Rattus norvegicus: one gene and its partner. The protein of the gene in region 2 binds, or shares a complex with, the protein of the main gene of each other region. Links are inferred from orthologs where the notes say so. Each region holds a gene or a part of one and is shown on either strand. Other genes may lie near its edges.

Region 1 (4,209 bases), on a different chromosome or scaffold from region 2:
CCTGAGCAAAGAAAATACAGACCTATGGTCTGCAAGACATAGGCTCAAAGCTGGGATTCTAACAGTGGGGAGCAAGATGAATGTCTCCTGTGGCTCCACACCCCCAAATTATGATGATAAGTCTCCCCCCAGGCTGGAGACAGCATGACAAAGTAAAAGGCTATGTCCAAGTATAGCAGACTCCAGTGTTGTAAATCATTGCATGCTGGATCTCAATTCCCCTTGCCTAGGAAGAAATTCTCTACTCAATGGAGAGAGAGCGACAGAAAAACAGAGTGGAAGTGGAGCTGGTTCTGAGAAGTAACAGACATAACCGGTCCCATAAAGGAGCATCTGAAAGTCCATGAGAACCCACTACTCTGCAAGGTCCAGTAAGTGGACAGCAAGAAAGGCAGGAGGTTATAACAACTCCCTGGCAACAAGGATGGGGACCTCAGTCCTCAGGACCAGTGGGTGGGTCCAGTTATGCAGGCAGGGCACTCACAAACCCCTCTTGGGATTGCCTGCCTCCGTCTGTTCCTCTCACTATCTCTGAGCAGCCTTGGGGGCAGTGGGGGGGGGGGGCTAATAAATCAAGTTCATGACTCAATGGATCCCTTTAAGAGTGCCAGGAAAAGCTGTATCAGTCAGAGAAAAGCCCCCTTTGTTGTGCCTCCCTGGCCAGAGGCATATCCTGAGACAGTTCCAACCCTGGTCTTCACCAGCATTTAGAGACCCTCTGGAACTGGGATGGGGGCAAGAAGGAACCGGGTACAGAGCGTGGCCTCCACCTTGACAGTTCAGCAGGGCCTGCCTTTTGTGAGTTACTGCACTGGGGGCTATTGGGGTGGTGTGTGAGAGCTCTAGCTCCTTAAGCTCTGCATTTCCACAGGTGAAAACTGAGGAGATGCCAAGTTCCTTGCTTCCAAAGAGGTCTGCCCTCATGATGAGGCTATAACAGGAGTTGGAACAGCAAATCTTCCTGTCACTCCTGAAGCAGAGACCTAAAGCATGAATGAATTCCTTAGCCCAGCAGCCAAACTTCTCACAAGACCATCAGCACTCTGAGTCAAGGGCCTACCTACAGGGGCAGCAAAACTCAAACACCCTTAGGCAAAGGCTCCAGGCTAAGGGGACTAGAGCATTGTATTCAACCCAGGCCTGTCACGCAAGCAGCAGCATCTTAAAACAAGACAGGCTGAAATTACCTAGAAGGGACAAGAAGACATTAAAGATCAACTCCACCAAAGGAGGCAGGCCTGAGAGCAGGCTCGCTCTAGAACAAGCTGGCCCGCCCTGTACGGCTGGACAGTGTCTGCAGAGGAATGTGCTCATACAGGGCGGAGACCTGGAAAGCAGGATTCAGATTCTTTCCAAGGTTATTCCCCTAGGCTGAATGCAGATGTCGAAAGGCATGTGGAAGTCCCTCCTTGAAAGAGGGAGCAGAGAGGGCAGGGTCTGTGAGTCCTGTCATACCTAGGAGAGGAGGAGTCTGGGATGACCCAATGCCCTTAAAGAAGTGATCCTGGGCGTTAAAGCTCCACGGAAAGGCCACTGTGATTCATTCATAGCATCCTGAGAGGCTGACTCTAATTCACCTCACCCCTTTAACCGGTAAAGCTGAGACTCCAGGAGTACATCAAAGTCTATCAAATCTATAGTTGCATATGGGTCTGGTCATTTCAGGGGTCACAGTGTTACCAGCCCCTGAAGTCTCTTGAGGCAATACTGACTTAAGTTTTTTGTTTTGTTTTGTTTTGTTTTGTTTTGTTTTGTTTTGTGACAGGGTTGTCTCATACACTCCTGGCTGGCTTGGAATCCACTTAAGTGCTGCTTTTAGGAGGTGTGTTGAGACTCCTTCATCCCCTCCCTTCAAAGAGGGCTGCCCCCAAATCAGCAGACCAAAGCATATCCTCACTGCCCCTCCTACACAAAACCACTGGTCCCAGGAGATGTGAAGCAGCGAGTGACCAGCAAAAGGAACATCTAAGTCTCGGGATTTCCCATGACACTTAAAAAACAGACCCGGGTGGAAGAGGGAGGTTGATGAGAATGAGTTGGGTGCCTCCAAAATGAGGAACGAGGCAGAGAGGAGAGCAATGGCTTATCTTATCACAGTGGCCCCCAGCTCTGTGGGAAGTAGGTCTGGGATCTGCGGGAGGGTTTGAGAGTTAAATTGAAAACCTGGAAGGTTCTGGGAATGACACAAGCCAGAGGAGTGGACAATGCCTATTCCCTAACTACTCTCAGGTAGTTAGTGGGACGCAGCAAGGCCAGTGACCCTGGGAGTGATCGCTGAGGGTCCTGCGGGGCCCCTCAGAGACAAAGGCCGGCTGGGGGCAATGGCTCTGGAGGCCTTTGGTGGTCCTCGCGCTGGGGGGAGAAGGGGTGGGTACCTGTTGAGGAAGGCGTTGCCGAAGGCGTTAAGCTTGCGGAAGGGGCGCCGCGGGTCCACGACGAGCGCGTTGCCGGGCACCACGCCCTCGGTGGGGCCATGCATGACTGCGATGAAGGAGTCGGTGGTGGGCTCCGGCCCGATGCGCATCCCTGGGAAGTCCTGCTCGATCAAGTGGCGGATGAAGGTGGTCTTGCCGGTGCTGTACTGGCCGACCAGGAGCACCATGGGTTTGTTGTCGAAGTCAGCGTCCTCCAGAGCCGGCGAATGGAACTCGTGGAAGCGATAGTGCTCCTCCAGCGGCAGCAGCTTCTGCGCGTACAGCTGCCGCAGCCCCTCGGCCACCGTCTGGAAGAGCTCCGGCTCCTTCTTGCGGCGGGCATCCTTGCTCACCCAGCTGAACATGCTGCCGGAGACAGAGCTGGCTGCTACAGGACCGAGCGGCGGCTGAGCGGGACTGGAGCGCGCGGCCGAGGAGGGGCCGGCCGGCCGGCGGAGGGCAGAGGGGCAGGGGGCGGGGCGCGGCCCGCACCGCGCAGGCGCAAGGACCGGCGTACAGACCACAAGAGCGCCCTCTACTGAGGGTCGCGCGAGCCTGGCCGAGCGGCCCCTTTATAAGCCGGAGCCCGGAGTTCTGGCACGCAGGCCGCCGCCTCGGGGCAGGCGGGAGAGGCGAGGGAAGAGCCCTCCAGGCTCCGCCCCATTCGCGTGCCACGTCTTCTCCTGCTTCCCATTGGCTGATTTTAAATATCGCGAGTTCGTGGCTGTGGTGCCTTGGCAACCGCACCTGTTTTGCTCCGCCCCTCGAGGGATACCTCGTAGAAGGGTTGCAGTTGCAGGTGCCAGAGACTAGCGTCCAGATGTGCTAAGCCTGAGCACCTTGGAGCACCCGTGGGCTTCTGGATACCCCAAGTACTTCAACTGCTTCCCCCAACTGCAGGGTTTCCACCGGCTAGGAACTCCCAGAAGCATCGACAGCCTGTGCGCTGCCCCTTCCCTGCTTCTTGAACCCACACTCCTCACTCTAGTGTTTTAGCGACTCTGGAGAAGAACAGGACAGCGGGAATAGGGAAAGCCGAGGGAGTACAGGACACCGGGAAGAGGAATATTGATAAGGGAGGAGAAGTGCGCTGGATCTCCACTCAGGCTGATGGGAGAGGGACAAAGCAATGGACAACACAATTGACGTGATCTAGCGGGGAGGTCTCACCCAAGAGGTGTCAGCTGCGGAATGGGGTAAAGAAGTTGCAGCTTTCTGGTTAGATGAGTTTGGAGGAAGTGAAATCGGAAATTCCCTTTGTAAGGAAGAGGGGAAGTGTTGAGCAACAATGAAATGTTGTGGGAACTTTGGGGAAATTAAAAGCCCCAAAATTTCCGCTTTCCTTTCAGGGACACCACCAGTACCACCTCTTGTTCAGTTCTGATTCCCAACCTCCTTCCAGTTAGTAGCTGTTCCACGGGGCTTACGGACCCGCCATCATCCCTGGCCACACCTAAGTCCCCTTGGCTGGTCTGCTGGTGACAATTTTTGTGGGTGATGTCAGAGATTTGGGGACTATGATTGTTAGGTAACTAGTATCAGGTCACCCAAGTGGGAGGAGGATCTAAGGGTGCTTGGAGAAGTCTAAAAGGCACCTGAGGAGTTGGTTAACACACAGTTATGGTCGCAGATGTTTGGAAAAGTTGGAAGACTACCTGAACCCATCAATATGAGGCCAGCCTGGGCAACAGACTCTATCTTAAAAAATATTTATCGGGGCTGGAGAGATGGCTCAGAGGTTAAGAGCACTGACTGCTCTTCCAGAGGACCTGAGTTCAAATCCCAGCAACCACAT
Region 2 (3,590 bases):
AAGTGTGAAGCCATGTTTCCTCCCAAGCAGACATCTAGACCAAATCCAGTTGTCCATTTACTTAGGGAGGCTGGGGCCTAGACCATGCTCATTACATGAGAGGCCAGGTCCCTCCTACAGCACAGAGAAGAGAATTATCTGTCCTGTATTTATGCATTATTTGTTAGAGATGTGCGTGCTAGGCAAGCTCGCAGTCCCTGAATGATACCCTCAGCACTTAAGGGCAGATCTGTGTAAGAGCAGAGGTTGGGTGAAAGCCAAAGCCATTTGACAAAGTGGTTCAGGGCTCTGAGGCTGCTGGTGCTGGCCCAGGCCTCAGTGTGAGTGTGTGTGTGTGTGTGTGTGTGTGTGTGTGTGTGTGTGTGTGTGTGTGTGCTGTGTTGGCGAGGGGCCCTTCTCTCCTCCAGGATTTTCTAAATCCCTGTGAGATCAGAGTCCATGTGGCATTCATTTCTGTGCTTTTGTTGCCTCCAGAGTCAAAGGGAACTTTCTCAACCTCTGGAAGTTCTCTGAAAAGAAGGATCTGTGTTATCCAAACCCAGATGTCATTGTCATTTAGGGATAGGGATGGAGTGGAAGGAATTGAGGGAAAAGAAGGTGTAATATTGTGTGTGTTTATGCGTGTTTGTGTGTGTGTGTGTGTGTGTGTGTGTGTGTGTGTGTGTGTGTGTGAGTGTGATGATATTCTACCTTTTTTTTAAATACTGAGACGAGAGGCTGGCTAATCTGGCTATATTGACTGTCTACCGCATCAGGGATCCGGATTACTAGCATGTGCCACCATGCCTGCATTTTTCATGGTGCTGGGGCTTGAACTGAGGTCCTCAGGTTTGTGTGGCAAGTGCTTCACACACCTCCCCAGTAAGCTGCCTCCCCAGTCCCAGTTACCACAGTTTAACAGTTATTGCTCTGTATTCTTTCAACAAGCATGCGCAAGATCACTTCCTAAACACCCAGAAGCAATGGGGACAAGCTGTGAACCAGCTTTCTAGGGACACTGCTGAGGAAACCAGATTGAACCTTCCAGACAAGTTACCGTGATCTCATTGGTTTTGGAGTACCCCCTTCCCCCCTTCCATGTTGGGTACCAGGAAACTGAGGCAAAGGGTTCAGCAGTGGCAAAGCTTGCACACTTTGCTGTATCTAGGAGACCTTTGCCATTCTCAGATCCTGCTGGCCCTCACTGCAGCCTGGGAGCAGGGGCTGAGGCTCCCCTGAGTTTCCAGGGCAGCGGAGGCTGGTAGGGTTCCTGACCTGCCCACAGCCAGTCACACAGTCAAACAAGCCCACAGGTGTCCTACCTGCGCATGCTCCAGCCCACTGGTTTCCACAGATGGGTGAAGCTAGCAGGCACCCGTGTTTCCCACACCAGTTTGTGGATGTGTCTTGCCACCGCTTACCTGCCCCACTTCAGAAGCTTCGAAACCCCTTACGAGGGAAGTAGGGATGCCTATCTACTGTAAGGAAGCTGTCCCCAAGAGCAAGCATCTCAGCTGACTACCAGGTCTGGATTATGTCCCTTTCTACTCTGTTTCTAACTTCTATTTGGGCCCCACTAAGAAACATGTAGGCCTGGGGGCCATAGCGGCACATGCCTTTAATCCCAGCACTCTGAAGGCAGTTCGAGGCCGGCCTGGTCTGCAGAGGGAGTTCCAGGACAGCGAGGGCTACACAGGAAACCCTGCCTCAAAACAAACAAACAAACAAACCCAATCAAACAAACTAAAAACCCCACGTGGAGGGGCCTAAGAGTTTGCTCAATTCTCAGCACCCATGTGTCTGTAACTCTAGTCCCAAGGAACCCAGTGCCCTCTTCTGACCTTCTTGAGCACCAGGCATGCACAGAGGCACAGACACGCATGCTGTGAAAACTCATACATTAGGTAAATAAACAAGAAGATATATCCACACACATACACACAAAATAAATATATACTATAAGCTTAATGAAACAAACAAAACAGAAAAGGAAATATTCCTCTTGGAGTTAGGTGGGGTTTCAGGTTTTCTGCTAGGTGTGGCGTGTGTGTCTGTGACATTCAGAGGACGTTCCAAAGGCACAGGCTTGCAGAGCTGGCTGGCTTCCCCTCTTGAACCTCAGCACCTTCTGTAAAGTAGGGTGAATGTCTGTCAGATGAGTTGCTGTGACCTTCAGACCTACATGGGCATGCTTGGTTGGTCTTTTTTTGCCACTGACTGAGAAAGCCTCCTGTGGAAGCTTCGCTTGAGCCCACCCCTTCTCAGTGATTTCCCAGGCCTTGCTTGGGTGCCTCCAAGGGCTCAGTCTCCTCTACTTAGAGCTGACAGCTCTGCAAGTCTGGGCAGGGAGTCTACAGGTTCCTGAGGTCAAGCTCCCACCTCCTTTCTGACCCCGCCCCTGCTTCCTGACCCCGCCCTCACGCCCATCATGACTCTTGACTGTTCTCTTGTCTCTTGCAGTGACTTCCAATCTCTCTCCAAGGAAAATGTCTTCGAGAATAACCGATTGGTGAGTCCTCACACAGATTGAAGCAACTGTGGTGTGGTGGGAGAGGGTAGGGGTCTCTCGGGGGCCGCTGCATTTGGTGAGGGGGCTGGTGCAGGTCCTAGAGGAGACCCTGGTTCTCCTCCTTCCTCACCTCTTCCCCTGGATGTCCTTCCCTGAAGCGGCAGAGCTCTCCTTCAGGCCACCACGTGGGGATGATACCTTTGTCACCCTGTCCCCATTATAGTGAGCTGGGACTAGTCTGAAGTATTCACTAACACTGCCATCTCTGTCCTCTCTTCCCTGCGGCTGCTCCTGTTTCCCCCTTTGCACCTAACTTCACCCTAGGCCTTTGAAGTGGCTGAAAAGGAACTGGGCATCCCTGCTCTCCTGGACCCCAATGACATGGTCTCCATGAGTGTCCCTGACTGTCTCAGCATCATGACTTATGTGTCCCAGTACTACAACCACTTCACCAGTTCTGGCCAAGGTGAGAGGGGACCCAGCCCTTCAGGGAGGCTGCCTTGAGCTGTTTACTTCTTTTCCGAACAGTAAAGAAATGGCCAGGAGACAGCCTGTCATTGAGTCACTGACAGTGGGTTCCCTAGTTCACATATTTATTGCATTAAGCAAGCGATGGTTTAGGTAACCTGCTCACACCTGTAATCTCCACCCTTGGGAGGCTGAAGCAGAGGGATCACCTCAAGTTTGAGGCCAGCCTGGGCCACAGAACCAAACCCTATCTGCTTTGCCTGGATAGGGGAGACAAGCACTAAGCCCAGGTGAGCTCATCTGTGAGTTCACCTCTCCTCACCCACTGCACTTCCTGTCTGCCGTTTCCTGTCCTCACACTTTCCACAGCTTTTTCTTCCTGCCACGCTGGTCTCTTCTTCTGTGCTGTTGCACAGCGCTGTTGCAGAGCCTGCCTCCTCAGCTTGAGAATTAGACACTGGAGGAGTGCGTCCAGGAGGGGAAGACTTCCTTTCTGTTCTGGTCAGGTTCTGAGTGTCCCGGGACAGTGTGGGACTCCCCTCTGCATAGGGGAAGTGAGTCCAAAGAAGGGGAATTGAAGAGGTCAGGAACCCAGCACAAAAGCTGAGGGGCAGGGCTGAGGATCTGGGTGTCC

Evidence for each region.
Region 1: the proteins of Micall1 (region 2) and Ehd1 are in contact, whole or in part, in an NMR structure (PDB 2KSP), measured with the Homo sapiens proteins. The link is inferred for Rattus norvegicus from reciprocal best matches to the Homo sapiens genes MICALL1 and EHD1. Residues at the interface, in NP_203744.1 of Homo sapiens: Lys422, Tyr424, Asn425, Pro426, Phe427, Glu428, Glu429; in NP_001269373.1 of Homo sapiens: Gly464, Ala467, Lys468, Met471, Asn478, Leu481, Gly482, Trp485, Lys486, Lys492, Asp493, Gly494.

The regions. Positions count from the first base shown.
Region 1 is NC_086019.1:213,007,756-213,011,964, reverse strand, and holds the start of Ehd1 (EH domain-containing protein 1), read right to left. Parts: upstream 2,853-4,209; 5' UTR 2,780-2,852; coding exon 2,376-2,779; intron 1-2,375. UniProt on the Homo sapiens protein: ATP- and membrane-binding protein that controls membrane reorganization/tubulation upon ATP hydrolysis. In vitro causes vesiculation of endocytic membranes. Acts in early endocytic membrane fusion and membrane trafficking of recycling endosomes.
Region 2 is NC_086025.1:112,560,192-112,563,781, forward strand, and holds part of Micall1 (MICAL-like protein 1), read left to right. Parts: intron 1-2,439; coding exon 2,440-2,488; intron 2,489-2,812; coding exon 2,813-2,954; intron 2,955-3,590. UniProt on the Homo sapiens protein: Lipid-binding protein with higher affinity for phosphatidic acid, a lipid enriched in recycling endosome membranes. On endosome membranes, acts as a downstream effector of Rab proteins recruiting cytosolic proteins to regulate membrane tubulation.